Rattus norvegicus: one gene and its partners. The protein of the gene in region 4 purifies or fractionates together with the protein of the main gene of each other region. This does not show direct contact. Links are inferred from orthologs where the notes say so. Each region holds a gene or a part of one and is shown on either strand. Other genes may lie near its edges.

What was found.
Region 1: the proteins of Park7 (region 4) and Pten purify together in Homo sapiens (affinity purification with western blotting; 4 studies listed by BioGRID, with this or other methods). This does not show direct contact. The link is inferred for Rattus norvegicus from reciprocal best matches to the Homo sapiens genes PARK7 and PTEN.
Region 2: the proteins of Park7 (region 4) and Eno1 fractionate together in Homo sapiens (co-fractionation; 3 studies listed by BioGRID). This does not show direct contact. The link is inferred for Rattus norvegicus from reciprocal best matches to the Homo sapiens genes PARK7 and ENO1.
Region 3: the proteins of Park7 (region 4) and Snca purify together in Homo sapiens (affinity purification with western blotting; 3 studies listed by BioGRID and IntAct, with this or other methods). This does not show direct contact. The link is inferred for Rattus norvegicus from reciprocal best matches to the Homo sapiens genes PARK7 and SNCA.
Region 5: the proteins of Park7 (region 4) and Prdx5 fractionate together in Homo sapiens (co-fractionation; 3 studies listed by BioGRID). This does not show direct contact. The link is inferred for Rattus norvegicus from reciprocal best matches to the Homo sapiens genes PARK7 and PRDX5.

Annotation. Positions count from the first base shown.
Region 1 is NC_086019.1:240,041,516-240,047,931, reverse strand, and holds the start of Pten (phosphatidylinositol 3,4,5-trisphosphate 3-phosphatase and dual-specificity protein phosphatase PTEN), read right to left. Parts: upstream 4,226-6,416; 5' UTR 3,366-4,225; coding exon 3,287-3,365; intron 1-3,286. UniProt on the Homo sapiens protein: Dual-specificity protein phosphatase, dephosphorylating tyrosine-, serine- and threonine-phosphorylated proteins.
Region 2 is NC_086023.1:166,000,826-166,007,272, reverse strand, and holds the start of Eno1 (alpha-enolase), read right to left. Parts: upstream 3,913-6,447; 5' UTR 3,801-3,912; intron 2,553-3,800; exon of another isoform or gene 2,501-2,552; intron 1,845-2,500; 5' UTR 1,836-1,844; coding exon 1,751-1,835; intron 1-1,750. UniProt on the Homo sapiens protein: Glycolytic enzyme the catalyzes the conversion of 2-phosphoglycerate to phosphoenolpyruvate. In addition to glycolysis, involved in various processes such as growth control, hypoxia tolerance and allergic responses.
Region 3 is NC_086022.1:91,104,629-91,110,514, forward strand, and holds part of Snca (alpha-synuclein), read right to left. Parts: intron 4,105-5,886; coding exon 3,962-4,104; intron 1-3,961. UniProt on the Homo sapiens protein: Neuronal protein that plays several roles in synaptic activity such as regulation of synaptic vesicle trafficking and subsequent neurotransmitter release.
Region 4 is NC_086023.1:166,647,407-166,653,292, reverse strand, and holds part of Park7 (Parkinson disease protein 7 homolog), read left to right. Parts: intron 1-735; coding exon 736-837; intron 838-2,216; coding exon 2,217-2,276; intron 2,277-2,958; coding exon 2,959-3,028; intron 3,029-5,479; coding exon 5,480-5,566; intron 5,567-5,886. UniProt on the Homo sapiens protein: Multifunctional protein with controversial molecular function which plays an important role in cell protection against oxidative stress and cell death acting as oxidative stress sensor and redox-sensitive chaperone and protease.
Region 5 is NC_086019.1:213,528,092-213,534,439, reverse strand, and holds Prdx5 (peroxiredoxin-5, mitochondrial), read left to right. Parts: upstream 1-2,321; 5' UTR 2,322-2,451; coding exon 2,452-2,619; intron 2,620-3,977; coding exon 3,978-4,112; intron 4,113-4,448; coding exon 4,449-4,829; 3' UTR 4,830-4,850; coding exon of another isoform or gene 4,851-4,889; 3' UTR 4,890-5,003; coding exon of another isoform or gene 5,004-5,065; 3' UTR 5,066-5,157; coding exon of another isoform or gene 5,158-5,263; 3' UTR 5,264-5,398; downstream 5,399-6,348. Other genes in the region: Esrra (steroid hormone receptor ERR1), read left to right, coding at 102-361; Trmt112 (multifunctional methyltransferase subunit TRM112-like protein), read right to left, coding at 1,251-1,358, 1,444-1,533, 1,640-1,741, 1,829-1,906. UniProt on the Homo sapiens protein: Thiol-specific peroxidase that catalyzes the reduction of hydrogen peroxide and organic hydroperoxides to water and alcohols, respectively.

The DNA of each region.
Region 1 (6,416 bases), on a different chromosome or scaffold from region 4:
ATCAAAGTGACTATTTTAGAAGTGGTTTAAAAATTGTTTAAATGCTGTCAAGCTATAAACAAACTAACAGCAAAAAAAGACAAATCTCATGTTGTAACATTTGAAAATAAGAACTGAATTCATTTCCAGAAGGTAAGCTATTTCATAATACTTACTTATAAATTTTATGTAATTATAAGTTAGATATAATGTTCCATACTAAAATTATAATACACTATCTGCCTTTCTCCAGTTACTAGAATAAAAATTTTAAAGGCCACGAATTTCTAAATGTAAGTCTAAAATTAACCAAGTTATATATCATCATATTTAACTTGAATCATTTAATCTTTAATATTTTATAAGGAATCTCAGTCTACATCACTCTATTGCTGTGTAAACTTTAAAATTGACAGTAATAAAACTTCCTTTCCTTATACTGAATTATACGTAACTGAAAATTACTCCTTTTGACCCACTGATATTTGCAAATTATACTAGTCATGTTTTTCAGGAAAGAAACACAAATGTCTATGAAAAAGGCAAGATAAAGATTGTAGAGTCTTTTAAAAAGGAAACCATAATTACTTGCAACAATCACTTGCCTTTAACAAAACAGCTAATGTTAATAATAATCACTATTCTCGCTATGAGGTACTAATATTCCTGTGCTAAGTGTTTGAAAAGTATATCTACCAAACAAAAAAGGCTGTACCAGAAGTCTGAACCTTCCATGTCCTTTAGACATTAACTCTTGCTTTCTCACATTCCATACTGTTAAGAATAATATCCAACCAAACAAATTCTTACAGTAATTCAATTTTGCCTTCAGCAAATAAAAGTAGCCAAGTTATTACTTTCATAATGGAATTTAACTTGGCCAACCTCATTGCCAACACTGACCAGCACGAATCTTCAATGATCATTTTAATCCCTGCCCCCAAACACAGAAAACCCTAATGAGGAAGCAAGCCCTCTGGCTTATCAAAACTAATATGAGCACCCCTCTCGGAAGAGCACTGACTTTTCCCCTACTGACTCGTTTTCACATCAACATTGGGCTCAATCAAACCACAGCTCTAGAAATTAAGTGTTATTAGTCATTTGATGCAATATTTGATACTGCTTTCTATGCATACCATAACTAAAAGTACAGGTCTGGATTTCTAAGCCACATAAATTGCACATGCAGAAGCCCATGCACTATGAAATCAAATAAGGAACTGCAATCACGTCACTCTCATACTAAAAAAAAATTTACAAAATAATCTTGAAGTCCTATGGGAAGGGCAAAGCAAAGCAGAAGTGTACTTTGGAAGCTTCGAGAAGTCTATCAGGCATTCTAGATCTTTCTTTGAATGTGGGTTTTTTTTTTAATTAAATAGGTACCTGACTATTCCTTCTAGATGAAGATTACTATCATTAATTTGTACCAACAGTAAACTGCCTTGAAGCAAGTGACAACTTGGAATTTTCTCCAATTATCTTTTAGAAGGGTCAAGTTCACCCTGAGTGAAGCTTTCTCAATTAATGCAAACTCAAAAATTAAAGATTCCTCTCAAACTGTATTTTTAGCTTGAAAGAAAATTAGCCTCTGTGAAGCCAGCTCTTCAGTGAGCTTCATCTTCATTTCAGAACAAAAACTCCATCAAAATTAGCTATGCTTTTTACACCATTAACGCAATCCATCAAACCTCTTCCAAGTGAAAATTTTTCTTCAATAAATAAAGTGTCCCATAATGCTATTAGCCGGACATGTATAGACAAGTTGCTGCTGTCCTTCTATCTTATGAAAATATCTACTAATAGTAACTAAGAAATACCTTTTGCAAAGAATATCTTATTACTGATTACGCAATTACATAATTTTAACTAAATACTTACTGTTCACTTCAATGCTTGTCACATAACAAAATTTTGGGTTGTAACAAAAGGCCCAATCATTTAAAGGCTGTTTCTTCAGACCTGCAACTTGTGTTTTCACACACCTGACACACTGGCCTCCCAAAACCTCTCAATTTCTGTCAATACTTCCCACTCTGCAAAAGAGGAGGCCTCTCTTTCCTACCCCTGCCATACCTGAAACTGCAACGGTAAATGCTTTAAACCACGAACTTTTGAAGTACAAAGACCTAACTTTTAGACGATCACGACTCTACGCCGTTAAAATTCTTGGGTTTCTCTTATTCAACAAGCTGACTCAGTAAATTACTGTATGCAGAGAGCTAGCATACCTACAGTCTGGAGATGGTGATCCATTCTTGCCAGTATGTCTGGCTATTAGCTGGCTAAATTATATTTGATGTTCTACACAAAACAGGGTAAAACACACAGATAAGTCAACGGGTCAGAGCACCTGAAACCAAAAAAAAAAAAAAAAAAAAAGCAGCAAATTCATGCTACTCCTTAAATCTCACGTGAGAGCTGAGTTTAACCTCTGCAGTCATTTGCCATACAGACACAGCATCCCTAAACTCCCACAGACACCATCATCTGGGATCAAAAACTACTCCATCTCCATTCTATCATGTATGGCAAGGCCAAGTGAATGAACATACTACTGAAATGCAAATTTCATATCCTATCCCACGCCCCATCAGGAAAGTCTAATTTAAAAAAGTTCTATTAAAAGCTCCAATAATACTATTGATTTCAAACTACAAAACTTCTAAATGCAGCTCCAAAGTTGTAATTACCTCAGTTTAAACACACAAACCTACTTCTACCCTCAAATGTGCACGGTCTAGGCTGAAGATGACCATGCTTATAAAGTTATGCAAATCAGTCCACAAGTCACATTTTAGAAAAATCTTCCAATGCAACCCAGGAAACTAAAAAAAAAAAAAAAATCACTGCAAGATTCTGAGGCAATATGCCTACGTGCTGCACGGACTTTCATTTTAATCTGATCTATACCCTAGATCTAGGGCCTAAGTCACGATCTAATCGAAATATGCACGACACCACAGCGTCTATTTTTTTTAGTTCATTTAGAAGGCTCGATTGACGAGCCGACTAATCCAGTGTACAGTACTCTGCATTAACGGACAATAGATTTTAAGAACAAACCACAGAGCTCGACAAGAAACCAATCCGTGCCTTGACACTTGCAAGCAGGCATGAGTTCCGTCTAGCCGAACACTCCCTAGGTTGAATACACTGGAAGAGACAGAAAATACACGATCTAGAAACGCGACCAGTATTAAACGTTATAGTCACCCCAACTACAGAAAATTTTCGCATCCGTCTACTCCCACGTTATCAGAGTGACAGAAAAGCAAAGAGGAACAGCCGCAGAAATGGATACAGGTCAAGTCTAAGTCGAATCCATCCTCTTGATATCTCCTTTTGTTTCTGCTAACGATCTCTTTGATGATGGCTGTCATGTCTGGGAGCCTGTGGCTGAAGAAAAAGGAGGAGAGAGATGGCAGAAGCTGCTGGTGGCGAGGCTTCTTCTGCAGGATGGAAATGGCTCTGGACTTGGCGGTCGCTGATGCCCCTCGCTCTGCTGCCGCTTGGCCCTGGACCGCAGCCGGGTAATGGCTGCTGCGGCGGCTGCTGGATGGTTGCAGCGACTGGGCCTGCTTCTCCTCAGCAGCCAGAGGCCTGGCAGCCGAAGCAGCGGAATGGGGAGAAGACGGATAATCCTCGCAGCGGCTGCCTCCTCCGGCGGCCTCCGGAGCCCGGGCCAGGGGGGGTGCGGCGGCGGCGGACGGGAGGCTTAACACCGGCCCGGGTCCCTGGACGTGCCGCCGCCGCCGCCGCCGTGTTGGAGGCAGGAGAAGGGGAGAGAGCAACTCTCCGGCGTTCCCAGCCCTGGCAATGGTGACAGGCGACTCCGACCCCCTCCCCGGAGCCGCGGCCGCCGCCGCCGCTTCTCCCCCCCGCTCCAGGAGCGGGAGGTGCAGCCGCCGAGCCTGCGCCGGCTCCCGCCCGAGCCCACGGCTTCCACCGTCTCTTTCCGAAGCTGCTCAGAGGCTGCCCGGTTAGAACAGACGACGAGGAGGCGAGGCCCGCCGCCGCTGCCGCCGCCGCCGCCCGGCCGGCTCCCCGAGGGCGCTGCCCCCGCGGCTGCTCACAGGCGCTGAGAGGGGCTCTGGGCCGCGGCCGCCGCCGTCTCTCATCTCCCTCGCCTGCGCCGGGCCTGGCCTCACAGCGGCTCAACTCTCAAACTTCCATCATGGCTGCAGCTTCCGAGAGGAGAGAGCTGAGCGCAGCCGCGTCCCGACGCCCAAGCGCATATCCTGCCGCAGTGCACAAAGAGTCCCGCCACATCACCGTGCGCCGGCCAGCCCGCCCCCTCCGCCACCCAGCCGGGAGAGCCGGGCGCCTCCGAAGCCGGAGGGAGGCGAGAGGCGGGCGCCGAGCCGGGGGAGGGGCGGGGCGGGGAGGGGCGGGGCGTCGGTGGGACAGGGGCGGGGAGCGCCGCGGAGCATGCCCAGTGTGGCCGCGGCTCGCTCCTGGAGCTACGCCGGCTTCGGCCTCAGCGCAGAGACCCGGCAAAGGGTAGGGCAGGTTGTGGCCGAGCGAGGGTGCGCGGAGCAGGATCGCTGACCGCTCACAGGTGGATCGGACTAGCTGACCGCGTTGGTCAGCACCCTAGGAACCTCAGGGCCAGGTTCACCCTTCCTGCGTAGGTCCCTGTGTTTCTTTCGAGCGGCTTGCACGCCCTGCCCTGCGCTGTGGTCAGATTGCAGTGCTTCCTAGGATTTGTCGGCGGCAAGTCTTTACCTAGACAGCGCACCTCACCCCCACGGTGTCCTCAAGGTGTCAGTCTTTGCACAAAGAACAACCCCCTATTGTGTCTCCCGCGTGGGTCACCTCATCGGGCTCCGGTTCCCTGCCCCGCCTCTTGCTTCCCAGGCAGCTGGGTTCATTTGCCCGAAAGATGAACGCTCCCAGCCAAGCATGATGATTGTGCATACGGGGCGTGTACATTGACATCTGCCCCTGAGTTTCCAGGGCCCAAAGGACACCCCTGGGTAGACAAAGTGGATCTCCGTGAATAGAGTGCACCTCACACACACCCCTCCACCTCCCGGCGAAGAGCCCCGCAGCTCCCCGCAGCGGTAGGTCCACCGGATCACAGTCAGGCTCCATCTTCTAGGAGATAAGCCGCCCCTCCCCCTTCGTGGCCGCTAAGAAAACCCGGCAGAATTGGATCGCGGTGGCCAAGTTCTGACCCTGTCGGACGGTGCACGTTCGAGGACCCGGTTACTGAGCCCGGGTGTGGAGTATGGGACGGTCGGAAGCTGCAGCCAGCGAGTGGGCGGGGCGAGCAGGCCTGGGAGGGCTCAAAGGCTAGGTGGAAGGATACATGAGCCGCAGTCGGAACTACTTTCAGGAGGAGGTCACGTGTGGTCCTAGTTGGGGAACTTTCCAAATTCCCATTCCCCTATCTGTGTGCTCCTGAGGCAGGAGCTTGGTCCCCTCTTCTCTATTAGATGATCTTCCGGGACCCCATGCCCCGTGTAGGCAGCTGAACCCCTCTCTTCGGAGTCAGAGCGGAGAATAGCACCCACGAGCGGTCCGCAGGAGCGCTGTCGGGGCCAAGCGCCTGGGGAGCTGGTTACACAAGCAGCCACATCCAAGCACGTGCCCCCGCCACCCCTCTCTGCTGGCCGCCGCCGGTTTGTGAACGCTGACGCTGAGAGTCCCCAAGCTGTTCCTCCCTTTCGCTTGTAACCCATAGAGCTAGCCAGAAGGCCGGGACACGAGACTTCTGCTCTGGATCTGCCCACACCGCGCGTTCCCAACCGTGGGAGAAAAGGCAGGGCCCTAGGGGGTTTGACGCATCTCCGCTTAATGAGGTGAACCCTTTCTAGATCTGTACTCGTGGGGCAAAAGGGTATCTCCTGTTGCTGCTGGCTGCTTGGGCTTACCGATGTTGCAACAAACTTCCAGTCACTGCCCCTGAACTGGTGAGCGCGCCCCACCTACCGTAGACTCAGCCAAGTGACTTATCTGAGCACCTAGTCAATGGCTGTCAGCCCAGAACGAACCTGTCAAGTAAAAGCTTACTGCCGGGATTGGCTGACCTGTCGCGGTTGAGAGAGCTGGTTCAGAAATGCTGATAACTAGCGCACAGCCCCTCCTCCCCCACCAGCCAGCCACAAAGCAAGCGATCACCTTGAGCTTGGAGAAAAAATGACATCAACTCCGATGTAGGTAGGGATTTCTTCCTTATTGTTCTTTTCCCAGGAGACTTAGTTCTCGGGGTGGCAATTTGAGTTCTAAAGTATTTCTGACCTGAGACCCAAGCTGAAGCCCTGGGTCATTTTAGAAATTTGGAGAATAATAATCAGTTATCATGAGTATTGCAATAATTGCGAGTAGGTGTCTAGGAAAGGCCAGCTGAGGGTTTATGAAGTATAAGAGAAAGAAAATTTCGTTATGTCCACGGCATAGTTGCAGGCAGCCCCTGAAGCCTAGAAACC
Region 2 (6,447 bases), about 650 kb from region 4:
TGGGAACAGTGGGGGGAAAGAAATTCAACATTGGGCAGTCCCAATACACAGGAGGATCCGTGTCTGAAGCCAACTGGGACCAAAGAAATTCTTGTACCTCCAAGTCCCCAGTTAGTAAATCCTCACTCAGAAACACGACAGCCTTCTCACCCGCCTGAGTCTTCCACACCACTCTTTATACAGAGTGAACACAACTTCCTGAGTGAGGGACATGCAAGGTAGCACTGTCTGTGCCCACCCTGACTTCCTGCATATCCAGATGGTCCTGGCCTAGGTGAGGCAAGGCTTGTCAGTGGCCACAGACACATAGATTCACAGTGCAAAAGCTGGGTACACGGACTAGGGTGACACATAATCCCCAGGCCTGGGTTCTTATGTGGGTCCTGGGGGTTGGACGCTGAGCCTCATGTCTGCACAGCAGGCATTTTCCTAACTGAATCACCTCCCCAAATATCTTGGTCCACAGTTCCAATCTCAGCACCTAAGACTGAGGACTTGACTTCAGTGTAGGCTACATACACAGGAAATCTTATGGCAAGATAAACTAATTATCGTAAAAAGCGCTTTTCATTGGCAGGCGAAAGCATAAAGATTCTAAAGAGCTACAGTTAAGACACCCGTCTTGTTTGACTGTTTAAATGTCAATTTAGGGGGTTGGGGATTTGGCTCAGTGGTAGAGCGCTTGCCTAGGAAGTGCCAGGTCCTGGTTTGGTCCCCAGCCCCAGAAAAAAAAAAGAAAAGAAAAAAAAAGTCAATTTAGGGGTAAAGCTGCACCAGCAGGTGGAGCCATCTCCTGCTATCAGACACCTTGTCATGCACGATGTCACCAGCAGGTGGAGCCAAACCCTGCTATCTGACACCTGATGCTACCTAGCATTCCTGGTATTCACCAGGAAACATTGCCAGAACACAGCTGAGAACCCCTGGCAAAGACAATGGCGGCCAACAAGCAGGCACATGCTGGTGATTTGAGGATCCCTCATTTCCTGGGACAACGGGTAGGTAGGGCTGGGCTCTGGTGCTTGAATTCTGAGTCACACAATGACTCAGCCCAGACTGGTGAGCTTGTGAGCTCTGTAAGACGTTGCTACATCTTCCCCAGGCCTCTTTCCTATGGCACCCACTACATGCATCTCTACATCTAGATGCTGGAATCAGCAGGGGTGGGCTTTTTTTTTGTTTTGTCTCTGAGTAGTAGAAACAGGGCCTTGCTATGTAGCCCAGGCTAGTCTCAAAACTGGCAATCCTCCCTCCTGAGCAGGCCCAAGTGCTGAGATTTATGGTAGTCGCTGCCACACCCAGCCAATCTCTCCTTGCAATGCTGTGATTTAAATTTAGGACTTCCCACATATTAAGCAAATGCTCTGCCAAACTATATCCCCACTCCCTTATAACACACGAGTTCCTCACCATGGGTAGCTTGGCCTAGAGGAAAAAGCAGAGCTTCCGGGCTGTCTCCTTCCTTTCATGTGGGGAGAGAAGGCTTCCCCCTCCATTGGCTGATCCGATCAGGAGGCCAGGCTTCTTCAGGAGCCAGGGCTTAAGCCCTCCCTTACTTCCCTGCCCCGGTGACCTACCCAACCCACATCCTGTCTTAAATACCAAGAAGCAAAGCCAGACATGGTGGCAGATGGCTCAGTGGGTGGAAGGCTCAGAGGGATCAGAGTAGATCAGACTCTGCCTTGCTTCCCCATCACATTATCAATAAACTGTGGTGCAAGAGACCAGGAAATAATGTGGGTTCGTGTACCTTTTGCGGTGTAGAGATCCACCTCAACGGTGGGATTCCCGCGGGAGTCAAAGATCTCTCTGGCATGGATCTTGAGAATGGACATGGTGAAGTTCTGTAGGGGGAAAATAGTTCATATATTACCCATAAACTCTAATATAGAAGGTTTATTTATCCCAAGAGATCACCCCCAAGATCCTGGACCTGGACAGAGAACAAGTGGGCTACGTACAGAAGTCACTTATAGCCCTCTGAAGCTAAGTGTTCTGTGGGCAATTAGGTAAATACAAACTGGACAGAACTATGTTCTGGCTGCGCAGCGAAGTGGGAAGTAACAGAGAAGGCAGGTCAGCGATTAAACAGACCTGTAGACCGGAGGGAAATGCAACATTGTGAAGCAGGGTGATTGTGGAAACAGAAACCCCAATTCATCAAGTTGTACCCATGGCAAGGGCAGAACATTCAGCAGACACAGATTTGATAACCAGTAAGAAATTGTGAGAGGAAGGCAGAATCCCAAACTCCTTGGCTGGTGGTCATCAGTACTGCCATTCTCTAGCCCGGTGGCACATGCAGGCTAGATGCCTAACACGTGGGCGGTCCTGGGTTCAATGGCCGCCATATTTAGGCAAGAGTTGACTTCTATTTCAAAGGGAGACCTTGTCTCGCCTTTAAAAGGTACCCAAAGTAGATGTCTAATTAGAAAACACCCCAGAGAAAGAGGATATTGAGCAACAAACAGCAAGTCTAAAAAGAAGGTCCCTTTCTTACTTCTTCCCCAGCAGGCTTTCCAAGAAAGGAATCTACCAAACGGCTTCTAGAACTAAATTGGATGAGACATTAAGACAATTAGCATTCGGAAGCTGTTATCTAAATAGGTTCCCTACACCTTTTCTGGTGAGGTCAAGGAAGCAAAGGCATACTTTTTGTTTCAATATAAGTTACTTCTGTGCTTGTCTTCTCTAAGACAAAGGACCTTTATTCACTAACCAGGAATAAAGTACCCACTTTTTATCCACTGTTATAAAATCTCACACCTGCACTTCCTATGTAGGCCAAGCTGACCCGAACTCGGTTATCCCCATCTTCAGCATCCCTAAGCGCTAGATTTTCAAGTGTGCATCACCAGGCCTGGTTCCTTTATGGGGGCGCGGGAGCCACGTGCCACCGCGGCGCTCTGCAGAGGCTTTATAACCTGTAGGAGTTGGTCCCCCCTTCCACCATTTGCATCTAGCTTGGATCTTTAAGCTAGGCAGCAAAGGTCTCTAATCAAAGAAAACCTCACCCACTCGCTCTATCGGGATTGAACGCCGGACTAAGGGCAGGAAAGTGGATCTAGAGGTCAGTCAGGCTTATCACCTCAGACTGGCTCTGGCCTACCCCGAAAGCAAGTCAGCTAAGGGACCACATTGTCTAGGCAAGAAAGGACAGGAAGTTTTCTTACGACTAGTAGCCACCCAGTAAGCCCGCAGCTCTTGCCTAACTCGGTCGAGGTCTCCTGAGGGCTTGCTTCCCACTTATTCAACGGGACTGCTGCAATTTCCTCTACTACAAGTACCTAACCGACACTCACTGGTCAGTAATATTCCAGAGCAGAGATGGGTTGGACCACTCCCGCCCAGTGACGCTCGATTGCGGTTCAGGAGACACAGCCCCAGCAGGATCTACTAGGGTGGGGCGCTCTGCCTCTTGGGCATCCTTATTTATCGCCCTTCCATTTTGAGAAAAAATTTAATGAACACCGGGGCGGGGGTTAAGTCGCTCTCTCCCTCAAAAACCTTCCACTTAGCTACATAGAAACAAGTACTTTTTTATTCTCCACGGCCGCGATTATCCGTGGCCTGCATTTACTGTTGTCCGCTTGGGTACCCGGTTACATTCCAACCCTGAAGCTCGGTGGTGACTGCGAGGGCCTGCACCTCCACCCTCCAAGAGCCTGCGTCCTTCCACGAGGCTGACCCGAGTGCTCCCAGGGTAGCGGCTCGCGCCCAGAGTAGGGGGTGACCGAGCTCACCGGGTCACCAAGAGGAGTTCCTAGGCGAGCTGTGCCCAAGGGGAACACGGACCATACCTGGCAGTAGGATCGCTGCGGAGGAAGGAAAGAGGGTCCTGGAGACACCGAAGGGAGTCTTAAGGACAAACGTGAGCGCGACTCGGTACCGGAGCAGCACTAAGCGCCTCCCACTCCGACTTCCTAGCCTGCTCGTTAGGCCCCACCCACTTCTCCCCTTTCGAGTCCGCCCACCCTCCGTGCCGCCACTCCATTGGCTCTGCCTGCCGTCACTCCACGAGAAGAGCGTGACCAAGGCGGCCGCTTGGCCTGCCCGGTCTAGGGGCAAGGGCACGGGGGCGGGGGTTGTCCTTCCTGGCTGGCCTCGCCTGCCTGAGGCATAGGCGGAATGCCGGGCGAGCCTCCGGCTGGGAACCTGGGGCCTAGCTGAGGGTCTACAGAGCCCGGATGCCGGGCGGGGCGGGGCTGCACGGCAGGCATGAGGGCTTGAGCCCGCGGCACGTACTCCGAGTCCTACACGCACTCGGCCGGGCTGCAGCGCCTCACGTCCGGCCCACGACCTTGCTGATGACCTTTAGGGCTGGGCCTTCCTGTGGGCCTCCCCCCCCGCCGGGAGGTGCTGGAGCCCCCGGCGGTGTGGAAACGTTGATGCGCGGCCTAGGGGCCTCACTCCCGCGTGGAATTGACGGAGGGGGGGGCATGTGCTACTGCGCCTGCGCACTGGGCGCCCCCCGCCTCCACCAAGTCTGGTCCTGGCTCTCTGGTGCCATCTGCCAAGGTGACCCCGTCCTTTTGTCCTTTCTGTAATGAGTCTCAGGCCGAGTTACCCAAAGGAAAGTAAACTTTCCCTTAATATTACCTACTCATTTGTTATTGTGTGGAGGATACCGAATCCTACCGTCCAACTCATGCTAAGTAAAGGCAGTACCTTTGTGCTACACCCACCCAGCCACTCCACCCTACTCTAGAACTTTCCCTGTTTTCTGCGATGTGCTAGCTCAGTGTGGATTCATTCTCTATCTCTGTTACTGTCCCCTTCTTGAAAGATTTAATAATACCTTTCCCCCATCAGTGGTCTAGATGAAACCTCCCCGGACTCTTCAGATCCATAATCGTGATTAGAGTTTGGGGTTTGATGTAGTCCCGAGGCATTTCTCAAAGCTTTAGACTGATACTACAAAGTGATGTGACAAATGTCCGGAAGGGGTGGGTGGAGCCATTTTACTTTTCTGATAAAGAAAATAAAGGTGGTGTTTAACCACAGCTGTCGGGAGGCAGAGTCTGGCAGATCTCTGAGTTCAAGGCCTGCCAGGTCTACATAGTGAATTCTAAGTTAGATAGGACAAAGCAATGAGACCTTGTCTCAAAAAAAAAAAAAAAAAGAAAAAGAAAAAGAAAGAAAGAGAAACCCTGTCTCAACAAACAACCAACAAAAAAAATTTTTTTAAACAAAACAAAACAAAAAACAAAAACCGTGTCTTAGAACCCTTGAGATGGCTCAGGGTCAAAGATACCAACAGTCACACCTAGTAGTAACCTGAGTTTGATTCCTAGGATTCATTCATTCTAACAAGCTGTCCTCTGACCTCCATCCCCAACCTCAAAATGTAAGACTAATTAAAAAAGAAAGAAAGTAGCCATCAGATTGAGACAAGCTTTAGCTACTAAGAGGGCTGATCTTGTCTCAAACACTACAAAAATTGGCTCTCAATTTCTGCAAAGCACACACTTCACTGAAGGGAACACATCTCTTTCTGTTGTGTTTTCTCCACATTTCTCTTAGGCTGTAGTCTGGGAGTTAATGTCCTATGTTTCTATCTTTTCTGTATTATCTGTCTTTCAGGAAGAGATTGAAATGTGTTCTTGACTGGTTTTTATATCTTCTAGTCAGCTACAGGAAGCTGCTTAATAACCCTTAGCTTTCTGCTCCAGGCAGCTCCTGACTGAGGTTTCTAAGGCACTGGGTAAAACTGAAGGGTTATTGAGTCCAAGGTGTTAGTACACGCAACAAGTTTCCATTGTTAAAGAAGCAAGATCTTTGGGATTAAATTTAACGAGGACCATCAAGGAAATTGTAAAATGATTTGTGACTTCACCAGCAATACACTGATGTGTGGTGGCTGCGTACATCGAATGTCTCTAGTCCCATGACTCAGCAAATAAATCAAAAACCTTCTCCCAAGTTTTATAAGAACCGGGAGAAATCGGACACTCTGAACTCTTCTGTGTGAATCTAAGACCTCGGCACTGAGAGGTCTCCTGACAACCTCTTCACTTTACAGTAAAATGGCTGGGGAGATAAAGATAGATTAAAACAGCTGTCTGCTAGACCCAGTGAATCAGGCAAGAATCTAAAACGGAACATTCGCTAGGCAGCTGCTGCCGCTGCGAGCTTTCTGAGGGTATCCACACAGGGAAATCCTGAGCCAACATTTCAACCTCAAGCTGTAGTGGGAATCTTTCCACAAGCCTTGCCCTGCCACATGCCCTGTGTCTCCGTGGCTTTCCAGGCTCTGTTGCAGGCCCTGCTCAGAGTCGCCTGCAGTCAGCACAGGGTTATTTCCCTTATTACAGACATTCTGTTGTCATTTCTCACAGACAGTAGCTTGCTGGGCAATTGCATGGCAGTGGCAGACCAAAGGCACGGGGAGAGGAAATGAATTACCGAGACTTCGGAATGTTAGACTTTAAGGCCTTGCCCGCAGCT
Region 3 (5,886 bases), on a different chromosome or scaffold from region 4:
TAAACCACCAACCAAAGAATACACATGAAGGGACCCCTGACTCCAGCTGCATGTGTAGCAGAGGAAGGTACTGTCTGGTACCAATAGGAGAAGCCCTTCGTCCTGTGAAGGCTTGATGCCCCAGTTTAGGGGAATACCAGAGTGTTGAGGTGGGAGTGGATGGGTGGGAGGGGAAGCATCCTCATAGAAAAAAAGGGAGGGGTATGGGAGAGGGGGGAATGGGGAAAAGGGGTAACATTTGAAATGTAAATATATAAAATATCCAATAAAAACTTTACAAAAAAGAGTAATTATAGTAAAAGATGTGTACAAATGCAATATTATTCAGTCCTCAAAATGTGTTTACAGATAGAGAAATAATTACATTTGCCACAGCATAGATAAACCTTGAGGACATTATATAATGCAAAATAAACCAGATACACAAATGTACATACTTTGTGATCTCTCTTCTCTGTAGAACGTATTCTAAAATAACATCCAATCCATAGAAACAGGTTAGCATGGTGGCTACCAAAAGCTGGGGACTGGGAAGAAAAAGCAAGATGCAGGTAATAAGTTATCAAGGATAAGGAGAGGGGAGGAAGGGAATACCCATGAAACTTAACATGTGACACAGTTCTTGCAGTTAATAATACCTGACTGTTAGCACAATAAGAGAAAAAGTCATTTAAGGCATTGATTATGTTAAATATCTTGATTACTACAAGAACTTTGGGTTGTATGAGTACTTGACATAACACTGTGCTGTTAACATGTGTTAGAAGATAAATACAATTTTCTACAGTTTAATAATTGTACCTTATTAAAGTTGGGGACAAATATTACCTTAGGCACCGCAAATCAGAGATGAAATTACAAAATAATAGGACCGAGAATGAACTGTTACTGATTAGTTCCGAACAAGAAGGCACAAATATGAAGAAAGGAAGGAAAGAAGAAAGTGTGCCTGTTCCCTTATCATCGAGGAAGCAATAGGACAAATACCCTCAGAAAGCATGTTGGGTATATCCAAGGTCACTCTAGATTTCCCCAATGTTCCTGATCCTTGAGACTCCAACAACCAAAAAATAAAGTGTGGCTAATTCCTTCTATTAGACAGCTGTGTATGAGCACTACTGATCCAAACCCTCTTCTCCAAGTTTCTTACAAATGGGCCAAACGGGGTCACTGACAATCAGTTAAAAAAGTAAAGGAATACATGGACTGACCCTGGGCTCCAACCTCATAGGTAGCAATGAATAGCCTAGTAAGAGCACCAGTGGAAGGGGAAGCCCTTGGTCCTGCCAAGGCTGGACCCCAATGAATATGATTGTTAGGGGAGGGCGGTAGTGGGGGGAGGATGGGGAGGGGAACACCCATAGAGAAGGGAAGGGGGAGGAGTTAGGCGGATGTTGACCTGGAAACCTGGAAAGGGAATAACATTTGAAATGTAAATAAGAAATACCCAATTTAATAAAGATAAAGAAAAAAGTAAAGGAATATGTGCTTGTTTCTTTTCATCGAGATAATTTTAACTAGAATCTGAAAGATGAAATAAAATATCTCAAATTTCATTAGAAACAAATTCAATTCTATTTAAACTCTAGATATGTATAAGCATCAAGAAATACAGCCATACTCACTGGCTTTTATGTGAGTATTCCATGAGTGATGAGACCTATTCAGAGCTTCAGTGCTGGACTGGGCTTTATCAGCTTTCTGATAAAGTAGCAGCACTGGGAGCTCCCTCACTGCATAAGAAAGGGGCTTGGGCACATAACACAAGCTTTCATCGCTACCAAATGGCCCCTGTGCTACAAAGATCAACCATTTAAGCACATACCCGCTGGGTTTCATCCCAATTTTTTTTACTGCAATTTCTGTTTATGGCTTCATTTTTATATTAGAAAATTTTAGGAACCTACAGCTAATTCCCTTAGGAGAGATATGTGCAAATGTTTCATTTTGTAACATTGTTAGATTTCTACTTTAGAATACTAAGCTAAGGAGTGGTATTTTAAAAGGTAGAAAACGAGTCCGAGTTGACAAAATGTGAACTGTTTTTAATAAACCATCTGTGACTTTTAATGTGTATTCTGAATGCAGGCAACGTGGGAAATGGAGTGAGGCATACGTCCTGGCCTGTATACATTCGGAAGCAGTAAGTTTTTCCACTAACTCTACTATTGCTCAACCCAGTCTATAGACAAAGGAAGGTATGTCTTGCTGTCATAGCTAGGCAAGTGATACCGCAGATAGATGTGTGCAAGGGTCATCAGGTAACTCACCTGACACTCACCTCCCTTCTACAAATCCCATATTCTTCATTGTACAATCAGGAGTTGGTTTTAAATTGAGGGTCTGTTGATGGCCTTCCTTTGGTGCTTTGGTGCATGTGTGTGTTCATATATTTTTCAGACAAGTGGTTCCCTTTTTTTCATTAGATTGTCAATGAATCTACAATTCCATTCTAGACTCCTCAATATTAAACTGATGTCTCTTAAATTTTGAAATATGGTAAAGATAAACATATTATTACAATTTCAGATGGAAAATAGGCATTAATATAATTATTACCACAAGCAAGATTACTACAATAGCATATTACACTCAAACAAAGCTGACTTCATTAGTCCTGTGTTCACATTAGCAACGCACTTCTCTGAGCACTCCCTAGATTATCTGGGATTGCACTTAATTGCTCTAACAATGGAACTGTCTGTGGAAAGCACATTATGGATTTCCCAGTCCTTTATCCATGAAGTTTATCTTGCCACCTAGGATGACTGAGATAAAGAAAGAGAGACTGAGATAGTCTGCCCACAGATGAAAGTGTCTTTCTTTTGGGTTTTATGATGTCCTCTTCAGAAGCCATTTGATTACAACTTTTGAATCAGTCAATACCCAAAGGTTTTAATAGCATCTATATGATTATTAATACTCAGAAAATTGTCATTTCTCCTTCTTTCTATCCTTAATAAGCACTTAGTAAGCGCTGAATTTGTAGTTAGTAACTTGCCTAGGCACATGAAGTATCAACAAACAAAATAAATATTTACATTATGATAGTGCCTACCTAGACAAGGAAATCTAAACAACATATTCAAAATAAGTAAATTATTAATTTATTTGAAATACAATGACACTTTATCGAACAAGAAGAAATAAGAGTAGAAAGATTAGGGTTTTCATGGGTAAGAATGGTTCCAACTTTAAATAAGTCAGGCATTTCAAGGAAGGTATCATTTAACAAAGACCCAGGAGAAGAGGAACTGAGAGCAAAGTGCATGCTTTGGGGGAAGAGCACGGGGAGAAGCCCGGCCAGGGGAAGCTGGAGTCCCTCAAAAAATGTAAAAGGACATGTGACATAAAAATGCAAAACTTATCCTACTGTAAGATCATGAGGGTTGTGAAACATCTTTTCGAATACCTAGAATATGTCACTACCATCCTATATTCATCCAGAAGCAGATTTAAAATTCTGATAATGTAAGAATCACCATATGAAGCCATGGTCTGTGTTTGGTATGCACTTTAAGTAGCCCAGTTTGCAAAATCATGTTTGGTACTGAGTAGTTATGTGATATGCAAATATGTCATTTCATAAGAGATTAAGTCATTACAAAGAAATCAGATAAAAGATCTTCGTCCTGGAAATTTAGAAATTACTCATGAAAACATTTTCTATTGCCATAAAGAGGAATTCCAGACCCACCATTCCCATGAAAGCAGCCATTCTTTCTGAAATGTCACTGATTTCTTAGGGATTACTACAGTGTTCAGTTCTGTAGCTTTCCTCCAGAAACTATAACAATCGGGGTTATTGTACAGTGTGCATGACCTTTCCCAAGGAAAACAGTGCATCGAAATAAGAGCCTTTTAAAGTCAGCCCTTCCTCATATCGTATGCATGCTTTCTTAGGCATGCAAGGACCATGGTGTCCAGGGTTATCACTGTAGCATAAAACAGGCAGCCATACCTTGCCCATCTGGTCCTTCTTGACAAAACCAGTGGCAGCAGCAATGTTCCCAGCTCCCTCCACTGTCTTCTGAGCGACTGCTGTCACACCAGTCACCACTGCCCCTCCAACATTTGTCACTTGTTCTTTGGTCTTCTCAGCCACTTAAGAAAATCAAGAGTGACAACAGATTAAAAGATGGTGGTGTCACAGAGACCTGACCAATTCCACTTCCAGCAGCTGTCGACTTCTATAGGCACATGTACCATAGGTAACAGGAGTCTGAAGAAACAGGACAGCAAGGTAGAAGTGACATGTTTCAGCCAAACACTAAACATGAGTTTAGTGCACAAATTAGAAAATATTCAGAAGTTAATTATAATCCATAACAACAAGTGAACTGGATCTGGTTTGCGTTGAAGTGAGAGGACAGAAAACATTGCATCCAACAGTGTCAAGTGGTGAGTCTGAGCACCTCTGCATGGTTTCAGCTCTGGGACCTCACTTCCCAGGGTCACTTCCATTATCCCTTCTAAGTATACACTTCAAACATATCTAGCGTCAATACTTTGAAAGTCCAAAATCCAAAATGTTCCTAAATTCTTCACTTTTGAGCAGCACCAATGTGATACTAGCAGAAACTTCATAGCATGAATTTTATTACATTTTGAGAATTATTCTAAAATGGTTAAGGTTTCTATTGCTATGAAAAGACACCATGACCATAGAAATGCTCCTAAAGGAAAACACGTCATTAGGGCTGACTTACAGTTTCAGAGGCTTAGGCCATTATTGTCATGGCAGCATGCATGTAGGCAAGGTGCCGGAGAACAGAGCTGAGAGTTCTACATCTTTATCTGCAGGCTGCAGAAGTGACCGTGTGCCACACTGGGCACAGAGTGGGCACATATGCCCTCAAAGTCCACCTCCACAGTGACACACTTTCTTCACAACACATCCGCAACAAAGCGACACCTCCTAAATGATGCCACTCTCTATGGCCGAGCATTCAAACACATGAATCCTTCGGGGTCATTTAGAGCATGAAATTGCCCTCAGACAATATGTACAAGGAATTTGAAATATAAATGCATTTCACATTTAGACTTGCATTTCATTGCCAACATGGCTCACAGCGGTGCATATATTCCCAAACCTAACAGCTGAAATCTCAAACAAGTCTTTCCTTAAACCGCCTTTCATACAAAGGACCTATGGGTACATATGTGCTCTTCATAGATTTTGGAGATAACAAAGGAACATGGTAGAGAAAAAGGGTGCATCTTTTAAAAATATTTAATTTTAATTATATATATTTTCTGGCAGGGTGAAGTATGTGCACAGTTATGCAAGTACACAGGGATGCTAGGTGGTGGTGTCACATCCCCTGGGGTTGAAGTTGCAGGAGGGTGAAAATCTCCCAGCATGGGTGCTGAGGACAAAATTCTGATCCTCTGGAAGTAGCCAGTGCTCTTCAGCACTGAGCCATCTCTCCAGACAAACAAAAATATTAAGACAGAATTTCAGTCACATTAGTGATAACACAGTATCTAGAGCTTTATTAAGGTGAAAATGAAGAGATTTGCTGAGTATACTTTTATTTTAATTTCGTAAAAGGAATATGGTTGTTTAACATGTCTTTAAGCAAGTTAAATTCAGAGATGATGCTATGAGTATTTCAGGTGGGACTTATAAGCAGAGAATTACTTAGATCAAAAATTTTCCATCCCATCCGAGAAGTACGTTCTATTGCTAAGTCACTCCTTCTTTTCTAGTCCCATGTACACATTATAGAAACACGAAATAAAAGTAATGCTGTTTCCATTGACTCCATAGTACCATGCAAGAAGTGAAAGACAAAAGATTATACTTTTAAAATAATTCTACATTAACCAAATAAATAAAAGAAGCTGTCTGCGCCTGAACCTCTGCACCCTATTTCCACA
Region 4 (5,886 bases):
CACCATGGGAAAGCCACTGCCCCTCTCCTCCAACGACAGCCTTACGAAAGTGGAGGAAATGCGTCAAGGCTTCCGTTTATCCTTTGTGTGCATATGAATGTTTGCCCGCATGGCTGTGCACCACATAAGTGCCCAGGACCGGAAAGAGGCCAGAAAAGGATACCCGATTCTAGGGTTGTGGGTGGTTGTGAGCCGCCATGTCGGCGCTGAGAACCAAACCCTGATGCTCTCAACCACTGGGCCACCTCTGCACCCTCTTAGTAAATGTTCTCTTGTGGGGTTCATTTGCGCAAATGTGAGGATGGCTGTTCAGGCTCTGCACCTGAAGGTGGCGCTGCTGGGCCAAGACTGTGTAGTCATCGTCACTGGGTTTTGACAAGTTGTCTCCAATGTCCCCTACTAAATGTTTTGCAGGATAAAGTGTTGTTTAGTTGTTTGGTGTGCACTTCTGCTCTGGGAAAAGCATGTGAGGTTTGACTGATAACAAGGGTGACCCTCGCATGGTGGGTTATTAGGATGGCCCGGTAACTCATTTCCCAGACCCAACACTTGAGGAATAGAGGGTGTTCTAGCCAGGCCATTCCGGGTAAACCAGAAGAGACCAGGAATTTGCCATTGCCTGGGCTTGGTCCTGTCCTCCCTAACGAGTTACTTACAAACCACAGAATGGGTGTTAGAGTTGCTGCCCCGCACTGTGCGTGCTTTCCTGTTCTTGAATACCTGTTCTGTCTCTAGATTAAAGTCACCGTTGCAGGCTTGGCTGGGAAGGACCCCGTGCAGTGTAGCCGTGATGTAGTGATTTGTCCGGATACCAGTCTGGAAGAAGCAAAAACACAGGTTTGTTTTGTCCACGTGGACTCTTCCTGCTTGGAGCTCATTAGTTCTTTGAAACAGCGTTTGGCCCTGTCTGTGACAGCAGTTAGAACAGACTTCCTTTAGGAGAAGGACTTGGCCTGGGTGGAGGCTCTGGAACCCTTAGTCAGTAGGTGGGTGGGGTGGGCAGCGTGTGGCTTAGTGGGAGAACACTTGCCTAGGAAGGCTATGTGTTCCATTTCCAGCACCACAAAGACTAAGTGGATGGCACGTACTACAGTGTATACTATTATGATAGCACTCGCGCTCGCTCTCTCTCTCTCTGTTTGTACTTTTTAATTTCACCATGTTTAAAATTAATTAGGTTTTTTTTTTTTGGTGTTCGAATGTTTAAGATATTAGGATACTGTGATTTTTCTCTTCCCAAAGTTTCATAATGCTAACTTTTTTCTTTGCCTTTTAATATTTGGGTTTTTATTTTTAGCTATTAAAAGTACACTGCCTGTATTTTCTATTGAAAAAGTCACATGGTAGAGACGTTTATATATAAAGTTTATATATAAACATATATAAAGCACCCCTCTTATCTCAGGCTGGTCCCTGTCCACTGCTGGGTGTATTTCGTCTGCGAGCATCTGTGGTGTTGATGAATATCTGTTTGTTTTGGTGCACATGAGTGTGGTGGCTCCCTAAGGCCCTGTGGTTGGCGCTGTTTCCTCTCTACCCTGGTACATTTACACTACACATGCTCCCTGGGCTTCCTTCCGTACATTTTCCATCACAGATTTTTCTGCATTTTAAAACACACACACACACACACACACACACACACACACACACACACACATATATATATATATATATATATAGAGAGAGAGAGAGAGAGAGAACGAGCGAGCACGCACAGCACACACCCCAGAGAACAGGTAGGGTGTTGGGTCCTGTGCAGCTGGAGTTAGAGGCAGTTGGGCCCCGTGTCAGTGCATTTTTTTGTTTGTTTACAGTGGTTTTTTTTGTTCCACAAAAGGTGCACACCTTTACCACCTTTATTTGTTTCATTTTGGATGGTTTGTTATTGTTGTTTTGAGACAGGGTCTTGGTATCTGGCTGGCCTCAAAGTTAGTAAGTAGCTGAGGGTAGCCTTGAACCCTTGACCTTCCTGCTTCTACCTCCTTCTATGGGTGTGCACTACTATGCCTGGCACTTACTTTTTTTTGGTGTTAGAGTCAAACCCAGGCCCTCAAGCATGGTAAGAATGTGCTCTACCACAGAGATTCATATAACTCCACCCCCAGACCCCACCCCTCACACCCCGCAGGCATACATGCTGTTCTTTGGCAGATACTGGGCTGCCATTTAATACAGTAAAACTGAAGTGTTCCCTTTTGTTTCCCGACTCACAGGGACCATACGATGTGGTTGTTCTTCCAGGAGGAAATCTGGGTGCACAGAACTTATCTGAGGTAAAAACTGCACTGTCACAAAAAAAAAAAAAAAAGCTTGTGGAGAAACTCACAGCTTCTGCCTTGTCGCCTTGGTATGCTTCAGGATGTGCTGTAGGCACAGGAGAAGCAGCAGAGGTTAGCTCTGAGTCCAGCCTGCCCACACAGTTCTGAGAACAGCGCTGCAGATCTCTGCTGCACACAGGCTTGGCGAGTGTGGACTGGCGCAAGGCTGCAAGCTTCCCAGCTGCTGCAGCAGCAGAGTGGGTTAAGCCTAGAAGGTGCTGCCTGCTCTGTCATCGGGGTTGAGGACAGCTGCAGGACCACAGACAGGATGACATGAGAGGCAGCCATTGCTCTTTGTTTCGAGCTCTATGTGAAGAGTCATGCAGGAGAGGCAGGAGCAGGGAGTGGGCTGTACCTCCTGGGGGTCTTTTCCCTCTGCCATCTGAAGCTGCTGAACCCTGTGTCCCCTCACTTCTGCCTCTTCTGGAGCACAGGACAGGGTTATGTGTCTTAGTGACTTTGCTTTGTCTTTCCAGTCTTTATTGGGCCTTTCTCTTGGAGTGAATGCCATTGACCAGGCTTGAGAACACAGACACACTGGGAAGCTGGTTAGAGCGCTTTCTGGGAAACGGCTAGAAGTGAGTTAGGCTGGGAGTGACAGTCTCAGTGGTGACTGGCGTTTGGGTTCTCTCTCTAGTCGGCTTTGGTGAAGGAGATCCTCAAGGAGCAGGAGAACAGGAAGGGCCTCATAGCTGCCATCTGTGCGGGTGAGTAAGTGCGGGTGTGGGGCATGCAGCGGCTGAGGCACTGGCCAGTCTCTCAGGGCTTGACTGCACACAGCTTGCCTTCATGAAGCCAAAAGGCGCCCACACTGGCTGTTTGGTTTGGGTGGCATGAACTCCTGTCTCGGCAGCACTGAGCCCAATTGTTGAGCGTTCTGTCTCTGTGCCCTGGGTCGCTGTCTGTGAAGTTCGGTGTTTTCCCTGTTTGGTTGACCTCAGGGAAAATAAGGCTTCTGGAATCCAGCAGACAGCTTGTTCCAGCACATCTCTGTGCCAGCAGTTAGGCCTGCCAGGAGAGTCAGCAAGAATTTGACCGGCACAAACGCCACACATCTCCCCGGGCTCGCCTGCCTCTAGGGCATGACTGAGCCTTGGCTTGAGTGCTCTTGAACACTCCTGCTTCAGATGAGGGCTTTCGTCCATGTCCTGAGCCTTGAAACTCTGATCGTTTGCTTCCTGGCCCACTTAAAATCCATGCTGTTGCTTTAACATCAGGCGATGTTCTGGCATCTGGCGTCTTCCTCATCCGATGCCTGAAGTGGTCACAGAACAAATGGACAGTGACTGAAGGGATGGATGGTTTCTTTGGGGATCAAGGGACTCTATCCTAGCTCTGGTGCCCTGGTTTCCCCCCAAGGGACAAAGCAGGTGATGCAGGGACCTCTGTGGCTATTTGTGTCTTGTTGAGATGACGGCACCTGTCGAAGCCATCTTTCAGGCTAGGCACTATGCTATACTCTGCTGTTTTAAAACTTTCCCTGGGGCTGGAGAGTTGGCTCTGCAGTTAAGAGCGCTGGCTGCTCTTGCAGTTCAGTTCCCAGCAACCACATGGCTGCTCACAACTGTCAGTAACTCCACTTCCAGGGAATCTGACATCCCCACACCAATGCATATAAAATAAAATTAAATAAAAATTTAAAAAAATTTCCCCATTTGGACCGGCTAGGAGACCAAGCTATAACCGCAGTGCCGTGGTGGTAGAAGCAGGAGTACTGTGAGTTTAAGACCACCCTAGGCCACATAGGAGAGCCTCTCTCCACAGAAGAAAAGAAAGAAGGGAAAACGTGAGGATAAGTTGTAAGTCCCCAGTGCAGGCCCTAGCATGGCTGAGTTGTATGTGCCTAGCGTGTGGGAAGTCCTGGCTCTGTTCCCAGCACCAAAAACACACATGGGAAGCCAGTCTTACTCCCAGAAGTGGCAGGTTGTGGGCATCGGGATCCAGGGATTGCTGCTTGAGTGCACAGTAGAGAGCCAGTGGGAGCCCCTGCACATCAGCTCCCCTGACAGGGCCCCGGCCTGAGCTCTCACAGCCACAGCTCAGGGGTTTCTGTTGGTTGATGGTTGCTATCCGTAACCGTCCTGTCCTGACTGGACGGGAAGTCTTTCGCTGTGTCTGGGTGACCAGCCTCCCTACGGTTTGCCTGGGTTTGTTCCTTAGACTTGGCTGAAAGTAAACAGCAGTGTCATCGTCTTCCGTGTCATGGACTAGAATGTCGGCAGCTGAAGCTGGCTTGCTCGCTTGCTTGTGCTCAGTCAGGCCTGAGGGCCAGCCCTTCCTCCAAACCTAGTCAGTGTTAAAAAAAGAAACTAGCAGTCCTATGTCACCGTCTCAGAAGGATAAACAGAAAAACCGGGGCGACTCGGGCAGAGGACGGAGCTCTGTGATGAAGCCTGTCTTCATCAGCAGGAGGTCTCAGTTGTTCGCCTCACCCTTGGTGCTGCTGAGTCCAGAAGAAAGTCATTGCAGGGAGGCTTTCCTGAGGATGAGTCAGGGAGAGAGAGGGAAGTTTGCAGGGGAAGGGGCCCTGGGAGTCAGAAGCTTGGGGTGTAAGGGTTCACCTGGAACCCAAGGAGTTCTAGTTGGCTGGGTGTCCTTCAGGCGTCCACCAGGCGGCGCTGTAGGAAGAGGCGGGGAGGGGGGGCCCTGTCTGCTGCCAGTTCCCAGAGCTAACTTGGCATGGTCTTCATCAGAGGCTCAGGTGATGGCAGTGGTGATCAGGCCATTAACTCCCCCCCCACCCCCCACCCCCAAAAAAAGAAACAAACAGTGGTTAGTTGCTTTCCATGACGGGACGGCAGCCATGCTTACCTTACCAGATGTGCTCACATAGGCTCATTGCAGATGCTCTGTGTAAGCCATGGTATTTAGAGTGGTGGCTATTCACGCTCTAGGTGTTTGATTTAGAAGAATACTTTTCCTGCTAAGCGGTTTTGGTTTGTTTTTTCTCTCTTTTTCTGGAGCAGGGCCCTCTATGTGGTCTTCATTGGCCTGGGACTCGCTCTGGAACTGGATCTGTAGACCAGGCTGGCCTGGAACTCACAGAGATCCACCTGCCTCTGCCTCCCATGTCCCTGGGCTCACAGGGCTGTGCTTTGGTTTTACAGCACAGGGTTTCTCTCTAACCTCTCATGCGTATTCTTACATCTTACTCCTAGGTCCTACGGCCCTGCTGGCTCACGAAGTAGGCTTTGGATGCAAGGTTACATCGCACCCATTGGCTAAGGACAAAATGATGAACGGCAGTAAGTATGTCTGTACCCTGTGCTTTTCCACTGACAGAGTCCTAGAACCGGGGGGTTCCCCGGTGTGGTATGGCAGCCTTGTTCCCTCTATGCCCCTCTCAGGGGCACTTGCCCAGCCTGGTACAGAGGAGCCTCCCAGCCTCCGCGCATGAGACACCAGATCCCTGATTCAAAAGCAGGAAGGATTATGAAATGCAAGCTTAGTTAGTGTTTTCACCAAGTCCTGAACAGCACCCACGGGTAGAATTGAAGCCCCAACAGCAGCTTCAGCCAAGACTGTTTCCCCGAAGTCCACAGTTCCACAGACTCTGGGGATTGTC
Region 5 (6,348 bases), on a different chromosome or scaffold from region 4:
TGGCTCACAGGCCAAGCAGTGAGTGCATTGCCCCACCCTGTGGTGTCCAAACAGATGAGTCCTGCCCCTTAGTCTCTCAGCCAGTGGTTCTCTCCCCCCAGACTCCGTGCACATTGAAGATGCTGAGGCTGTGGAGCAGCTGCGCGAAGCCCTGCACGAGGCCCTGCTGGAGTATGAAGCTGGCCGGGCTGGCCCTGGAGGGGGTGCTGAGCGGAGGCGCGCAGGCAGGCTGCTGCTTACGCTGCCACTCCTCCGCCAGACAGCAGGCAAAGTCCTGGCCCATTTCTATGGGGTGAAGCTGGAGGGCAAAGTGCCCATGCACAAGCTGTTTTTGGAAATGCTTGAGGCCATGATGGACTGAGGCAAGGGGTGGGACAGGGTGGGGTGGCTGGCAGGATCTGCCTGGCATAGGGTGTTAGCCCCAAGGGGGCAAAGCTGGAGTCTGGGCAGTGCCACAGCCTGCTGGCAGGGCCAGGGCAATGCCATCCGCCCCTGGGAGCAGGCTTCATGCCCTCCCCTCCCCCCTTTGGGGGGGATTGTCAGAAGCCAGGAAAGTGAATGCCCAGGTGTGGGCACAGTGCTGCCCCTTGCAAGCCATAACGTGCCCCCTCCCAGAGTGTCGGGGGCCTTGCGGAAGCCATAGGGGGCTGTAGGGGATGTGTAGGAGGCAAAAACTGATCTCAGGGAGGGAAGGGGATGGAGACCACAGTCTCCCAGTGGGTGATGCTTTTGCTGCTGCTTACTCCGACCTCCTCTCCAGAGCAGAGGGGGGCTTGGAAAGCAAAGGCCCTGCCCCTTCGCTCCTCTCCTCATTGCATTGGGCATTAGTGCCCCCCCTTGAAGCAATAACTCCAAGCAGGCTCCAGCCCCTGGACCCCTGGGGTGGCCAGGGCCCCCTATCAGCTCCCACCTCAAGGGATGGGGGACAGCACTGCCTCTACGCCCTGCAGAGCAATAACACTATATTTATTTTTGGGTTTGGCCAGGGAGGCGCAGGGCCATGGGGCAAGCCAGGGCCCAGAGCCCTTGGCTGTACAGAGACTCTATTTTAATGTATATTTGCTGCAAAGAGAAACCGCTTTTGGTTTTGAACCTTTAATGAGAAAAAAAATATACTATGGAGCTCAAGTACACGGTGGTTGGTGAATCATTGGGGGAATTTGGGGGGTCACGCACGACACATCTAGTTAACAGACCATACAACAGATAACACACACAGTCACGAAACACCAAAGATGTGGCTAACAAGGTTACGTCTCGGTTTCCTCATCATTCAACAGCATATTGGGGATCCCGCGGCTGATGGGGAAAAGACGACCAGATTCTGGGCATTGCAGGGTGCCCTCCAGCACATCAACCTGCGGGGGAGCAGAGCAAAGCTAAGCACAGGAAACCTCAGGGGCAGTGGGGGGAGCTAGGCAGGTGATGAACAAGGATTCTCACCTCAAGCAACACATGGTGCATCTTCCTCAAAAACGTCTCATCGTGCTCATAGCCTTCAGTCGGCTCTTTGGGTACCTCGGCCAAGTTTAACTGTGAAAAGGAGGTTTACTTGGTCAGTGGGCACACAGACACCGAACCCACCCCGGCAGGGAAGAGCCCTGCCCCCGAGGGGTGACAAAAAGGGCGGGGTTCTCACGGTGTCCGCTGCCTGCACAAGCGCCGCCCACTCCACTTTGGGGATCATCCGCGCCACGAAGTCGGGGTTGAACTCCACAGGGTTGATGCGGACCTCGGTGGCCTGCGGGGAGAAAGGTTTGGCGAGGTAGGTCCGGGCCCCGAAGTCTTTACCCTGAACTATAAGGGGCGACAAACCTTGTGCAGTTACCTGCAGGCGCAGCGGGAAGCCACGCGTGCCCACGCCCCGCACATGCGAGCTGAGGAGATTGTGGGTGAGCAGTTTCATGTTGTCGCACCGGAGCTCCGGAGGCCGGAACCGGAAGGAGTCCACACTTCTCTTTTGCGCCACTTCCGCTGCTGAAGCAGTTGGCTACTTCCCCGGACCGGAAGTGGTGCACTTAGGGGAAATTTTGGGGCTTTGCGGCAACAGAGATGGGAAGAACTGTGTTGGGTCAAGTTTTGATACCGGAAGCGTTTCTCGGGAAGATTGCAAACCCCGCTCTCCGTAAATGGTACATATTATGCAAATCACATGTGTCGCGGCGCTCTGGTTGAATGTAAAACAAGCACATTTGAGGCTTAGCCAGATTACCCCCCGATCTCTGTTTGCAGTTAAGGGTCAGAAACGGTCACATCGGTAAGCCAGGAACTTCTTTCTGTATACAAATAAGGCGTGCGACCTCTGGAAGATCCGTCGCGTCACAACGCGTCACGGCCCAGCCCTATAAGCGGGCGTAGTGTGTGCGGCGTGCTGGTGTGGGCGGAGCGGTCTTTGTACCCACCTCCTGTGGGCAGAGTCATCTGCGGGTGGGCTGCGGCGGCGGGGCGGGCATGGTCCAGCTGAGGTTTTGCGTCCTAGGCAGCATAGCCGGATCGGTGCTCCGTGCATCGGCTACTTGGACGTGCGTGGCAGGCAGAGCAGGCCGGAAAGGAGCAGGTTGGGAGTGTGGTGGGGCCCGCAGCTTCAGCAGTGCCGCGGTGACTATGGCCCCGATCAAGGTGACCGGTTTTACCTTTCCTGGGTCCAACCTGTCGCGTCTCTTTGGGTTCCACACGGGGTCTCGGATCTGTCCTCCTCGACATTTCTTCTTGTCATGCTTTCTGTAAGACCTTGTCGTTGCCTTTCCGTCCTAGGACATTTCTTGAGCCGCCCTCTCAAACCTACTATGCCACTGCCAGGGATCATTTTCAAGCGACCGAATGCTGTGTCATTTCCCACATTTTTGAAATATCTCTTTTGCCGCTTGGTCGCTTTTCAAACCCTTTATACACTTCACCAAAGCCCCAGCCCTTTCCGTGTTGTACTAGACTTCGCCTCATCTTTTGCAAGAGCTGTGTGGTTCCTTGGAGACCGGGGTCTGTCTTTCCCACTTCTGTCTCCACTTTGTGAATGCTTCCCCGCCCCACTTCTGTTTGGTCTTTCTGGGAATTCTTGAACGTATCCCCTCTCCTGTTCTTGGACTTCAATTTTAGAGAAAGAGAGAGGAAGGAAGGAAGGGAGGGAGGGAGGGAAGAAGGAGAGAGAGAGAGAGAGAGAGAGAGAGAGAGAGAGAGAGAGAGATTGATTGATTGATTGATTCACTATATAGTCTTGGCTGGCCTGGAACTTGGAGTGAGACTGGTCCCAAACTTCTAGAGATTAGTCTGCCTCTGCATCCCCAATGTTAGGATTGAAGGCCCTTAAAAATAACAAAACAACTTTTAAATACCTACTTGTTTATGTGTGTGTGTTTGGTAACAGGCATGTGACTCTGGAGGTCAGAGGACAGTTTCCTCAGGAGTCAGTCTTTCTCGTATGTGGATTGTGGGGAAAGAACTCAGGTGATGAGGCTTGGTGGTGGGCAACTTTACCTACTCACTTCATCCTTTTCCTTTCTTCTGTGGCTCCAGGAAGCCTGGTGGGCTGACTCTGAGAGCCCACGTCCTGAACAGTTTTTGGCTTAGGCATCTTCCCTGGTTTTCCAACATGCTTCTCCTGGTGTGTGGGTGGGATTTTTCTCCTTCCCTGTTACTAGGTGCTTTCTCAACCCTAGACACAGTCCTCTGCATTCCTCCTCTGTGCCTTGATCCATCTTGGGTGGCTTTGTTTTCACAGCATTGCAACACTTGAGAAGGCCTCTCCCTTTCTCTGTTGCCACCAACTGGCCTTAAGCAGAAAAAGGCTTTGAAACATGTAGGATGTGGGGCTGGCAGGAGATATGGAAGATTGAGAGAGCAAGGACAGAAATGAACCCCTGGGACCAGATAGGCACTTTCTGTGCTGGGTATAAACACTGGCTCCATGAAGGTCTGTCTGTAGGGCTGTGGTCTATTTGGCCTCTCTTTACTCGGTCTTACCCTGGTGTCCTTTTCTCTAGGTGGGAGACACCATTCCCTCAGTGGAGGTATTTGAAGGGGAACCTGGAAAGAAGGTGAACTTGGCAGAGCTGTTCAAGGACAAGAAAGGTGTTTTGTTTGGAGTCCCTGGGGCATTTACACCTGGCTGTTCCAAGGTGAGATTTCTCCTTCTCCAGAATCAGAAACTGGAACCGGGAGCGTGGGAGAAAAGAACCCCGATAAATCTGATAGCTTTGATTATAGCTGCTGGTGGAAGCACTGTGAAAATCACTTGGGAGACCGGCTAATGAGGCAAAAACTTTGCCTATGGGATTTCATGGTCTTGACCAGAGATACTTAGGTCCAAGCTTCCTGGTAGCCAAGGCAAAAAGGAAGTGGTCTGTTTCATACTGGCTTCCTTACCCTGATCAGGGATGTTAGGAAATAGGAGGAGGAGCAGGCTGAGCAAAACCAGCAATTGTCTCTCTTTTGACTCTTTGTTTTCCTCTTAGACCCATCTGCCTGGGTTTGTGGAGCAAGCCGGAGCTCTGAAGGCCAAGGGAGCACAAGTGGTGGCCTGTCTGAGTGTTAATGATGTCTTCGTGACTGCAGAGTGGGGTCGAGCCCACCAGGCAGAAGGCAAGGTGAGGTGTGGGGCCTGTGAGGGGTCGGGGCCAGGTAGAAGGTTTCCTTGTTTTTTATTACACTTTATTTACTCATTTTGTATGTGGGGTGGGCACTTGTACCATTATGCACAAGTGGAAGTCGGAGGAGAGCCTGTGAGACTTGATTCTCTCTTACCATGTAGGGTCATGGGGATTGAACTCAGGTTTCCACACTTGCCAGCAGGCACCTTCACTTATAGAGCCCTCTCACTGGGGATTTCCCTGTGACATTTATTCTCTTTCCTTCAGGTTCAGCTCCTGGCTGACCCCACTGGAGCTTTTGGAAAGGTAAGCGTACCACCCTTCCTTCAGCCTGCAGTTGGTCCTGCAGGGACATGTTATGTGGGAGCAGCCCCTGGCCTGTTTGGGGGTTCCTGACACCCATTTCTGCCGGTCCCCTAGGAGACAGATTTACTACTAGATGATTCTTTGGTGTCTCTCTTTGGGAATCGTCGGCTAAAAAGGTAAAGTGGAAGTCCCCCCTCCCCCCACTGGTGTTGGCACTAGGGGCCCTGGCTGCTGCCTGGGCTTCTGCAGTTGTACCTCTTTCCGGCAGGTTCTCCATGGTGATAGACAAGGGCGTAGTAAAGGCACTGAACGTGGAGCCGGATGGCACAGGCCTCACCTGCAGCCTGGCCCCCAACATCCTCTCACAACTCTGAGGCCCTGACCAGAATGTCCTCTGACTCTCCCATCTCCTCCACCCAGCTCTGGGCCAAAGGCCCAGTACCTCCTTACCTGAGGGCCACTGGAATGGAACCTTGACAATATTTCTGCAATAAACAGTTTAATTTGTGTCTTTGCCTCTGGCATGGAATCGTCTGCTTCGCCCTTACTCACCGGTAGCCATAGATAGAGCTGAAGTCAGTGGCAGAGGTTTGGAGGAGAAAATGGAGGGACAGCCGGGATAGGTTTCCAGAAGGTAGCATCCTCTAAGCTAGCCTGAAGCTGAGAGGAAGCCGGAATTGGTTTTGCTTGGTACATCATGGGACAGCTGGCGCTTGGCCTAGGAGCTGGCAGACTCCATTGACTTTTTTTAAAAAGATTTATTTATTATACATAAGTACACTGTAGTTGTCTTCAGACACACCAGAAGAGGGCATCAGATCCCATTACAGATGGCTGTGAGCCACCATGTGGTTGCTGGGATTTGAACTCAGGACCTCTGGAAGAGCAGTCAGTGCTCTTAACCGCTGAGCCATCTCTCCAGCCCCCTCCATTGACTTAATACACAGGGCTGGAAGCTTTGCATTTTGTGAACTGCCATTCCTCCAGAAGCACCCTGGCTCTGGCTTGGCTTCATCAGAGCACACAGTACCAGGGTCAGGACAGAAGACTTCCCCAGGGAAGAGCCTTGGAGAGGTGTGGCCGGTGGGGAGTGGGAATCTGGGCCAAGAGCCAGGGTTGCCAGTGGGGCCTCAGGAGATCCAGATCCTGCTGCTGGCCTTTGGATCTATGTTCAAGGGAGCAGGGGGATTGTTGGGGACCCCTCGTGCTTGGGAGGTTGTACCCCAACAGTAGATTCTTACCAAGCACCTGCCTGATCTGTGTAGGCATAGTGAGGTACATACTAGGCCTGTCCAGTACTCTGGACCAAACCAGCTCTGCAGCAGCCAGATGGGAGGCCAAGCAGGGTGGAAAAGAGTCAGGCTGAGCTGGAAGGTAACTGGCCCAGGTTACAGCAGGCTCAGGCACTCTGGGCACTGGGGCTACTTGCTGAGGCCATCTGGTAGTCAGCAGGAATTGA